Mus musculus: one gene and its partners. The protein of the gene in region 1 interacts with the protein of each later gene in a pairwise test. Links are inferred from orthologs where the notes say so. Each region holds a gene or a part of one and is shown on either strand. Other genes may lie near its edges.

Region 1 (4,277 bases):
CAAGTCTGCAATACCAAAATTAACCAGTTGACCAGGATCTGTTAATAGATACCTGCCACAAATTCCACAATTAAGCCACTGATCTCATTTCTACTGAAACTCCCCAAGTCAGTCACTTTAGCGGGAAGGCTGAAAGCAACCTGGATCATATCTGAAGTCATAGCCCAGTGTCAATGAGCAGCAAACTTTCCCAAAGATGACTGTCAAAGAACCTAACTTCCTAACTAACACATGCCCTTCGCATGTCCACTGAGCAAGTCTCTTCCAGTATCTGTCCAGAGGCAAAGATGGCCAATATGACCGGGGTCTGGGTTCTAGTGCAAACACCGTTATCTGCTCCCACATCTTCAGGGAAAACTATCAATCTTTTCTTAAACACAAGAAACTTTCCAAGAATTTCCACCATGATCACAGGTCTTACCCTAAGGCTCTGCCTGAAAGGACAAGCAGAAGTCTTAGTCCCCAACACACTGCCTTGGAACAGAAAAATCCAGGGAACTCCCTGCAAGGCCTCAGACTTAACGATGTATTTCCTCTTCTGAGCTGGAAAGCCCCAAAGCAGGCCCTCTGCCAACCCTGCCATGCATGCAGCCTTAGGGATGGATTCACACTGGTAAGGTCTGCAGAGAAAGGAGAGGGAGAAAGAAAGAGGAAGCTGAGGGCAGTGGTCCAGACTCCGGACCCACGAAGAGGGACAGCTATGACAGAGAGCTCTCCCCTTGCCTGCATGCAAACTGCCCTGCTGCTGTCAGACCCACAGCAAGCTCTGCGCTCACCTTTGAAGGTGGCACTACAGAGCACTTAGCAAACCTGAACATTCCTCTGAAGACTGAGGGGAACAAGGCGCCTTGCACTAGAGCAGCTGCCACAGCTCAGCTTGTGTGGGAGGGGGGACTCAAGGATGTGGCGAGGGGTGAAGGCATTGCAGAGGAGGTAGGAACCAAGGACTCGTCTCTGGAGTACTAAGTGGCCTGGCCTCGGGGAGAACGGAAGTGGACTAGACTGGAGAGGTCTGGACCACTGATGAGGTGGGGGAAGTGAGAACAAGACTGGGAGACAGACGTTTGGTCCCAGACAGGATTGAGGAATTTGCGACTTAAGGGTGGAGGCTGTAAGACAGAAGCGAGTGGGCGGGACTGAAAGATAAGTGAGGGCGGGATCAAGCAGGGACGGGGGCGTGGCTGAAAACAGTAGAGGGGGCGGAGCCAAGAGAGGAGAGGGGAAACTAGAGAGATGGAGATGAGGAGTGGGTGAGGCGGTGGGAGAGCAAAGAGAAGCAAGGCAAACGAGTAGGGGGTGGGATGATTCGAAGGGACCCAGAGAGAGAAGGGAGAAGGTAGATAATGTTCATGTGAGAGAGTGGGAAGAAAGAAAGGAGAGAGAGATGAAGTGATGAGAAGCTGCAAGGGAAAAGAGGGAGGGGACAGGCGGGAGGATGGTGAGGGGTGGGCCTAGAGGGGAACAGCAGGTAGAAGGAGGATGAGAGTGAAGAGATGGATGATGAAAATGTGAGGTAGGGGTGGAAAGAGCGGTGGAGGTGCAGCGAGGGGGCGGGATCTACATGAAGTTGAAAGGTGTGTGGCTATGTACAAGGCCTGAAGAAAAGCAGGCAGGGGGGTAGGTGTGGATCAGAGGGTGCTGGGGCGGTGTCAAGAGAGGACACTAGAGGGGACCGGTGGAGGGCCCCGAGGGGTGGTACCTATATGCAGCTGAGGGTAGGTGTGGGGCAGAAAGGAGAGGGGGGGGGGGAGTCCTGTAGTGGAGGAGCTAGGGGGCGGGACCTGATCCAGAAGGGTAAAGTTAGGGGCAGAGGGAGAAAGCTAGGGGGCGTGGCCCATATGCAACTGATGGTAGGTGTGGGCAGATAGAGTAGTGTGGGCAGGGGGGGATAGGCAAGAACCTGAAGAGAAAGGAGCCAGAGGCGGGGCCAAGAGAATCAGCCACAGGGGTGGAATCTATGATAGAGGGATGAACAGCAAGCCAGGCTTAATGCAGAAAAGGCAGCTGCCTGGGCCTGCAGAGCAAGCAGGGGGCGGGGAATGATGCAGAGGGAGGAGCCATAGGGCGGGTCGCCAAAGCTACAAAGTAGTCAAGGGGTGGAGCCTGTGAGGGGGAGGGGGAGTCTGCAGAAGAGTCGAGGGCTGAGCCTAGTTAAGGGGGCGAGTCTGCAGATCGGAGAGGCGTGGCTTGATGCAGAGGGAGGGCGGGGCTGCCGCAGCGGGGCGTGTCCTGATGTGCCAGGGGCGGGCCCTGATGCAGAGGGAGGGGACGGGGCGGCAGGGGCGGCGCCTGCAGAGCACCCGGGGGGCGGGGCCGGGAGCGCGAGCGAGGGGCGCACGCCGTAGGGGGTGCAGCGGTCCCGGGACAACGGCCGGTGCAAGGGGGGGGGGGGGGGAGGGGGCGGGGCGGGAGTCCGCAGGGTCCCTGGGACAGTCTAGGGGCGCGAGGGCCGCGGCCCTGTCGTGCCTACCTGTCAGACGGATCTTGATGCTGGAGCCGTTCCTACGGGTCCCGGGGTTCGACATCTCCCGCCAGCGGCCGGCCGGCCTCGGATCCAGTGCCGCCGCCCCCCAGCCCGGCCCGGCCCGGCCCCGCCGCCGCCTCAAGGTTACGGCCACGGGCTGGGCGCCGGGGTCCGAGCCGGGACGCCGAGTGCGCGGCGCAGGCGTTGGGCCGGAGACCACGGGCTGGAACCGTAGAACCGAGCGCTCGGCCGCGCCGCCGCCAGGAGCCGCCCCTGGCTGGCCCAGCCCGGAGCCGCCGCGCTCGCAGCCGGACGCCCGCCGCCCTCGCTGCTTCCGCCGCCGCCTCCCGAGCTGCGCGCGCCCGCCGCCTTGCCGGCCCGGCCCTGCGCGGCCTCGCGCTTGCGTGTGTGCGTGCGTGCGCGCGCCCGAGCACGGCGCTACGCGGACCGCGCTTGTCCTGGGCGCGCGCAAGGGGGTCTGGGGGAGCTGCAAGGTTCCTGCAGCCGGCGGGGAGCCTTGAAACAGACACCACCGTGGCCACCACCGCCCCACACACGTAGACGACACACACGCACACACAAGCGGCGCAGTCGGAGCTGGTTCTTAGTCACAATCTCAGAACCAACTGATTTGCTTGTGCGACGATTTGGGGGAACCGATTGTTTCTTCAGTGTCGGACTTTTCAAAGCTCCTGATGGAAGCCAGGGTGTTGCATGAAACCCCAAGAACCGTGCGCGCGTGCGCGCGTGGGTACACACTAGATCCTGCAAGTTCCAAGGGAAGACTTCCCGCAGTGATCGAGTGTCGGATGTGCCCTGTGCAACTGGTGTATTCGATTGACAAAGTGGCTAGACTCAGAGGAAGTGCGGCATATGGACCAGCTAAACAAGATGAAGGATGTAAATGGAGAGGTGGTGGTTTTGTGGATAGGAACCTGCATGCAACTGAACTAACCCAGAGAAGTAAGCAGTCGGGTTTTCGAGTCCCTGCCTTCTGATGAACCCACCCCCAAACCCCCAGAGTGTCAGGCCGGTAAAAAGTAAAAGCCGGGCTTTCTTTCCCCAGCAAGCAAACCAATCTCTATGGTAACGCATTCTAGAGAGGAAATAAAAGGTTCTTGAAAAGGCTGCGTATATTTACCAAACTCCCATCCGACCTGAACTTAATTCACTTCATGGGCAGACTCTATGGTTCTTCCTTAGAACCAGCTACCCACAGCGTTTGACCACCCTCTTTGGAGACAGGGGCTCATCTGTAGCTGAGGCTGACCTCAAAACTGTGATTCCCCCTACTCAGCCTCCGGAGCGCAGGGATTACAGGCTTGTACCTGTTCTTGTCCTAGGCAGTTTGGTTTTATGAGCCTGTGCAGCCCAGACTATTTAATAATGGAGGGAAAATATCTTAAGAATAGGATCGTGTATGGGCAACGGTTAATCCAGACTCTAACTCTGCTTCCATTTCTAAGCCGTTGTCGCTGAGAGCGAGACCCTAGGTTGGAATAAATCCATTTAGGAGTCTTTGATTGGTGTTGGGAGAATAGCACCATTGGTAAGGTGTTCGATGGTGCAAGCACAAGAAGCTAAGTTTTGTGAGGCTTTTTTTTAGATATTTCTGTTACCTATATAGGAGTGTTTTGTGTGCGTGTTTGTATGTGTGCATCACAAGGTGCTGGATCTGGAGCGGGTGTTTGTGAGCCACCGTGTGGGTGCTGGGAACTGAACTTAGGTCCTCTGGAAGAGCAACGTGTGCTCCTAACTGTTCAGCATCTCTCCAGCCCCACGGTACAGGTGTGCTGGTGAGTTTGAGTGATCC
Region 2 (3,190 bases), about 110 Mb from region 1:
TGTTTGCCACAGTAACAGGGATGAAACCGGCCCAGCACCATAACTCTTCCAGTCCCCATGACAAACCCTGATTATGCCCGTGTGGAATTACCACACGTGACTGAAGAGAGCAGCACAAACCCCAGACTGTGACTCATGCAGACGACCCAATTGGTGACCTGGGTTTCAGTGATCCTCGACACAAAGAAAGCACTTTTCACCCCAAGGCCAGGGTCAACAGCCATGTGCTGTTACTGCTGCGACCTCGGGGACCCTCACACCTGGATGGTGCCAATCAGCTATATAGCAGATGGTGTCAACTGTGCGGGATATCAGTTCTATCCTCAGTCACCCAACTGGCACATTTTCACTGAATCTGGGTTCATACATACTATGTTGCTCGAGCGCGCGTGTGAACACACACACACACACACACACACACACACACACACACACACACATACACACACACACACACACAACCAGACAAGGCTCCCTGTAATCAAACCAGAAGGCAAGGCTATAGGTTTCAAAGCTTTTTATTTCGGCTGCCTTAGAACTTGGCTTTTGGCTCTGCCATATTGAACATAGCCAAGCTTACCTATGTACTGAAAGGGATACTCTTGCATTATTTCCCAAGTCCTGGGGTACTCAGAAGAGATCCCCACAAACTCTCTAACACCCCCAGAGATAGGCCAGCTCCAAGGCAGGCTGTAGTGTTCAGAGCCCAGTTTGGACATGCTATACCCAAGTAGGAAGCCAGGCAGGACGTGACCACTGGGGACAGCCCAGGAAGGTGAACCACTGTCAAGGCTTAGCAGCAACCAAATAAATAAGAAACACTACCATGAAGTCTACATACACACATATTTGGAAAACAAATCCAACACAAAGTAAGGAAAGGGCAGGAAGGAGGCATGAAGAACTGGGGAGGAAGATTCTTATCTGTAAAGTGCTCTTCGTGATGGAGGGTCTTTGGGGCCAGGCTTGGAGTTCCAGCTCTGTGAGGGAAGGGCAGGATTGTGAGTGAAGATAGCATGCAATTTCTTATGACACTCGGCATTCAAAGTGGACAGTGCTAAAGAGAACCACCCTCCAGCAGGATCTGCGATCTACAGGTGAGCAGAGAGCCTGGGATCTAACCACACGAGAGCAGAATACACATACACACACACACACACACACACACACACACACACACGGCACAGTGCTGCTCCAGCTGGCTGGGTGGCCACACGGAAGGACTTCACAGCAACATGCACCAAAGCCTCCTCCAGCGGCGGACGCTCCTCAGGCGGCAGACAGGAATGGGAAGAAGAAGAAGTCGAAGGCAAACTTGAGGGCACCGTGCACTGTGCTACGCCAGTCCTGTTCGATCTTCACGTGCCTCCGGGCAGGTGACAGCTGCGTCATGCAGTTGAGGCAGCTGATGGCCTTGAGCTCGAAGACGGGCCACTTGCTACCCAGGCGGCCCTCGAGGATGGTGCTGAACTCTATGAGGCTCCCCTGGCGCAGGTTCAGCAGCACGTCCTTGAACTCGCTGCTGGCACGGAGAACAATGTCCTTGGTGATGTCGTCCTCTTCATGGCCGCGGTTGCCGTTGGTGCCAAAGGGCATGCCCACTGTGATCTCAAATTTGTAGCGGTCAAACTTCTTGATGTGGCAGGGGTGCTTGGCCAGCTGCTTGAGACGGCAGAGCTCCTCCTCTGCCGTGGACGTGTTACCAGAGCTACAAGATGGGTAGGCCTCGCCATACAGGCAGCGCATCCAATCGCCCAGGAAGAACGGGAGCATGTTGATGGCCGACTCAGCACTGTTGTCGATCTCGGTCACTCGGACATACTTGAAGCGGCCTGTCCACGTGACCCTGTGGCCCTCCAGGTGGCTGCACAGGATCTGGGTCCGGGCCATGTTAGTTTCCTTCCAGGCCCGGGGCCCACATAGGAAGCCATATTGCTGCCAGGTGAGTGTGGAGTTGTAGACCTTCATGCCTTCTGAGCGGTACACGTAGAACCAGCAGAAGAGCAGGATGGCCGTTAGCCACACCAGAATGAGCTTCACCATGGAGCTCTTCGTCAGGGACTTGACCATCCCCATCACTGAGAAGTTGGCCTTGGTCCACCAACGGAAAAGCAGGGGTACGCCGCAGATCACCGTGGTGACCATGATCTTGGTGAGGTCCAGCGACAGGAACCATCGGGCAAACTGCACCGTGCCCATCAAGGCGAGGCCAGCCACCAGGATGGGGAGGGCAAAGAGGAAGAGGAAGTAGCCGATGGAGGCCCGGACCAAGCCCAGGCCGGTAGACTGGAGCAGGATGACCACGGACAGTTCACACCACATGAAGCACACCAGGTAGGGCACCAGGTAGCAATAAGTGCCCTTGAAGTTCCTCAGCTGGGCCATGCGGAAGAAGAGGTAAAAGAGATAGACATAGAGCAGGCAGGGGAGGCTGACGTTGAGGATGATGAAGTGGCCAACGGGCACAGTGAAGAAAGTCTGGCCGAGTACTTTCAGGAAGCGCCAGTCCACAGGCACGGTGGGCAGAAGGGACAGCAAGCCGGCAGCCACCTCGGTGACCAGGGCACGCCTGGTATAGGGCTCAGCAGAGCTGCTCAGGCTCATGTAGCTGGTCACCGTGAAGAAGGTGGAGATGACGGCCAGCTCCGAGCAGGGGATGCAGTCCTTGCTGGCCAGCGGGAAGGAGAAGATGACAAAGACGACTGACAGTAGGAAGTGGATGTAGGGCTCCAGGTGGTTCCAGCCGAAGTTCACTTCGGCCTGCTCCACGTCTAGGTTGGGCTCGAAGCGCAGCAGCAGGTCGGTGAGAGTACGGAAGTTCTCCCAGGCCTTGCTGTCCTGGAACACCTTGAGCGTGCAGATGACCATGGACACAAAGGACAGATAGAAGACCACCAGGGGGATGAAGAAGGCGAAGAAGTCGATGGTTAGGTTGCTGATGATGAAGAAGAAGATGAGGGCGTTGATGTGATGGGTGGGTACAATGGTGGAGAGCCAGTGCATGCCGGCCTTGGAGGCTACGTCAATCAGGTACTCTTTGATCTCCATGATGGCGTGTAAAGGGTACTTCACCACCTAGTGGGGGACAGAGAGCGGAAACCAACTGGGACAGGAGCCCCTTGGCATCTAACATGACTGCCTCTAGTTCCCTGGTTCTGTACAAAGCCACACCCTAGACTTTCCCACTCCT
Region 3 (3,500 bases), on another chromosome or scaffold:
AGTTCAATCCCCCAGACCTACATAGTGGAAAGAAAGTACCAACCACATTGTTCTTAGACTTCAAACACACTAAATACAGAAATACAAGTAAAGAGCAAAAATATTTGGTAGAATAGAGGGAAAAGAAGAATCTAAAGGAATCAGAGGATGACTAACCTCTTGTCATTCTGTTTGTATATCCACCTTGGGAGACTTAAGTGAGGTCATCATAGAGTGGGCTGGGCACTGAGACCCTGGATTATGTATTTTCCTTGCCTATTATTTATGTTTATTTACTTGAGACATATTTTCACAATGTATCCCTGGCTAGCCTAGAACTTGGTATGTAAATCAGGCTAGTCTCAAGCTAGAAGCAATCTTCTTGTCACTACTTCCCCCGAATTAGGATTATAGGTATGAACCGTACCACCTGGCAGTATAACATTCTTTAAAAACAGACGAAAAAGAATATATATGTCTTCTGGTTTGCTGGTGTGGAACTTTAAGGCTCAGGTATTAAGTAATATGCTAAAATTATACTTAAGTGCCAGGTCTGAACTTCTATGAAATGCATTTTCTTTTTCTATTCTTCTCTGTCATTAACCTAGAGAAACAACATGGAAATTCTCAGTTGAGAAGGTTGTTGAAGGAGCAGAAATATAGTTTGCTTTTGGACCCAAGTTAAATCTAAAGCCAAGTATTGTCATTTAGAGAAGAAATAACTGATTGTAATTTATATCAGGTTTTCCCTTTTGCTTTTATTATGCCTTAGTCCAAATCATTTCAAAATTCTGATATGTGATATAGATAGGAATGACATAAAATTTCAGTAATGTGTTTTATAATATTTGAGTTGGAATTATGTGCCTGGGGCAAAGATAATTGCTGTATTAGTCCAAATGCAATGAACTATCTTTGTATTCAAAGAAAAGGTTACAGCTAGTGTACCAAAGTACCCAGTCTCTAAGTATGTTTTGGCCTGTATCCCTACTGGTGTTTTATGTGTATAAAGACTCTTGTTGAAGGCTGGTGTTTCTGTTAATCAGCAGTTTAGATTTCTTAACTGGTTTATAATTATCTTTTTTGTGCTGTTTCCTTGTACATAGGAAATGATTAATTGGTAAACATTTAAGGTTTATATTGAGGTAGGAGGAGGTGGCAGAAGTGAGCACCAATATTAGTCACTCCTAAAAATATACTTCCAAAACAAAACCAAAAGACTCAGTGTTGTGGCTTGGACTCAAGCTTTAATTAGATATTTAACAATGGCCTAAAGATTCAGGAAATGTTTGATACAATAAACTGAAATGAAACCCCGAGGAAAGTAGATGGGTAATACTTGTAGTTATTAGGTAACATTTTAGTAGACTGTTTATTCTATCAGATGTTTTATACAGAGGAGCAGAGCCTGTGCTGAGGTAGTTTGCTTTTAATTCCAGCAGAGGCAGGTGGATACCATGGTCTGCATAGAGAGCCTTTGGCTTAAAAGAAACTGGAACAAATACCAACATAGTCCTTCTCATAAATGATTGTATAAATTTACTTTGACTATAGTTTAGTGAATCTTTGTTCTCAATTTTTTGAGTCAGGGTCTCAATGTATAGCTCAGGCTGGTATCCAAAGCCTTTGATTCTTCAGTCTCTTCTGTATCTACAGTGTTGGGATTTGAGATGTATGGAACCAGTACAGTTTTGAAATGATGTTCCGGTCGGGCAGTGGTGGCTAACGCCTTTAATCTCAGCACTTGGGAGACAGAGGCAGGCCTGGTCTACAGAGTGAGTTCCAGGACAGCCAGGGCTACACAGAGAAACCCTGTCTCGAACCCCACCCCCAACAAAACAAACAAAAAACAAAAAAAGAAATGATTTTCTGCAGTCAGAGCAGCAGAGTTGTAATCCTAGCTGATGCATACTTAAGCATTCATGTGCATTGTGCAGTACTGAGGCTAACACTTTAATTCCCATTTAACTGTTGCAGTGACCCTCCTTAAACATGAATTGGTGTACCTGGTCAAGATTTTGGGGGGCCAGAGGGATGATTGAGACAGGGTTTCTCTGTGAAGACTAGGCTGTCTTCTAGCTCACAAGAGATCTGCCTGCCTCTGCCTCCACCTCACAAGTGTTGGGATTAAAGGCTTGTGCCACTACCGCCCAGTTTGTACATTAATAATATGGACGATCTTTTTAACTGTAAACCATGAAATTTACTTACTAAATATAAAACTTGGAAAAATTGTGTATAAGATGAAGATGCCAACATTATTAGTTATCGTGGTTAAAGGGTCATTCTCATCTTGATAAGTGTCTAAAATCAATACGATATAGTCATACTGTTCCATTTATCCAACCTCTCACTTATCTGGGGGTTCATTTTCCTTCCCCGACTAAGCCAGTTAATTTAGTACACCGTAGAAAATAAGTTTTAAAATAATCAATTGTTTGTTTCACTTTCATATTTAGGAACAAGTTCCTGTTCCCATCTATCATCCGACACCTAGCCAGACTCGGCTAGCAACTCAGCTGACTGAAGAGGAACAAATTAGAATAGCTCAAAGAATAGGCCTTATACAGCATCTGCCTAAAGGAGTTTATGACCCTGGAAGAGATGGATCAGAAAAAAAGATCCGAGAGTAAGTAGTAATTTTATGTATTTTAGAGATTTGTGTGTAGTTGTGGTTTTTTTTTTTTTTTCCTCTATAATACTGCAGACTGAACCTAGGACCTTGTGCCTGTGCTCCCCTCAGCTTTATTTTCAACTAGAAATGTCAGCTTTTGGAATTTGCTTTTTTCTCATGTTCTTAGGAAGCCTACGGAATTCTGTATTTGAAAACCTGAGTATAGCAATAAAGGAGAATTCCTGCATTCTGACCATTATAGTTGCTAGTTGTCTATTTATGACAGTTGATGATAGTTAAAACCATTTATATAAATGTGATATTTCTAATAGCTTTGTTTTATCAGTTTTCCAAGGAGTTTAAGCCTTTGTAAATAAATAGGAATTAAACCTCTTTTAAACTCTGAGCAAATTAATAGGAATGTTATACCCTCTCCCCCCCTACACACACTAGAGTTTTAGGCACAAGATTTTTACTATAGTCTTATTGAGGGGTGAAAATCTAAACTCTGTAATTGTAGAGGTATAGTTGTTTTAACTTTTCAGAAATACTTGGGGCTGGTGAGATGGCTCAGTGGGTAAGAGCACCCGACTGCTCTTCCAAAGGTCCGAAGTTCAAATCCCAGCAACCACATGGTGGCTCACAACCACCCGTAATGAGATCTGATGCCCTCTTCTGGTGCGTCTGAAGACAGCTACAGTGTACTTACATATAATAAATAAATAAATAAATTAAAAAAAAAAAAAAAGAAATACTTAGCCAGGCGTGGTTGTGCACACCTTTAATCCTAGTATTTGGGAGGTAGAGGCATATGGATTTCTGAGGCCAGCCTGGTCTACACAGCAATCTCTAGGACAGCCAGGACTACATAAAGAAACCCTGTATCAGAAAAAAAAAGAAAAAGTGA

What was found.
Region 2: the proteins of Smurf1 (region 1) and Wfs1 interact in binary tests that used the Homo sapiens proteins (3 or more experiments, as listed by UniProt). The link is inferred for Mus musculus from reciprocal best matches to the Homo sapiens genes SMURF1 and WFS1.
Region 3: the proteins of Smurf1 (region 1) and Rnf11 interact in binary tests that used the Homo sapiens proteins (3 or more experiments, as listed by UniProt). The link is inferred for Mus musculus from reciprocal best matches to the Homo sapiens genes SMURF1 and RNF11.

What each region holds. Positions count from the first base shown.
Region 1 is NC_000071.6:144,963,031-144,967,307, forward strand, and holds the start of Smurf1 (E3 ubiquitin-protein ligase SMURF1), read right to left. Parts: upstream 2,801-4,277; 5' UTR 2,526-2,800; coding exon 2,471-2,525; intron 1-2,470. UniProt on the Homo sapiens protein: E3 ubiquitin-protein ligase that acts as a negative regulator of BMP signaling pathway. Mediates ubiquitination and degradation of SMAD1 and SMAD5, 2 receptor-regulated SMADs specific for the BMP pathway.
Region 2 is NC_000071.6:36,965,604-36,968,793, forward strand, and holds the end of Wfs1 (wolframin), read right to left. Parts: intron 3,076-3,190; coding exon 1,270-3,075; 3' UTR 501-1,269; downstream 1-500. UniProt on the Homo sapiens protein: Participates in the regulation of cellular Ca(2+) homeostasis, at least partly, by modulating the filling state of the endoplasmic reticulum Ca(2+) store.
Region 3 is NC_000070.6:109,456,006-109,459,505, reverse strand, and holds part of Rnf11 (RING finger protein 11), read left to right. Parts: intron 1-2,438; coding exon 2,439-2,608; intron 2,609-3,500. UniProt on the Homo sapiens protein: Essential component of a ubiquitin-editing protein complex, comprising also TNFAIP3, ITCH and TAX1BP1, that ensures the transient nature of inflammatory signaling pathways. Promotes the association of TNFAIP3 to RIPK1 after TNF stimulation.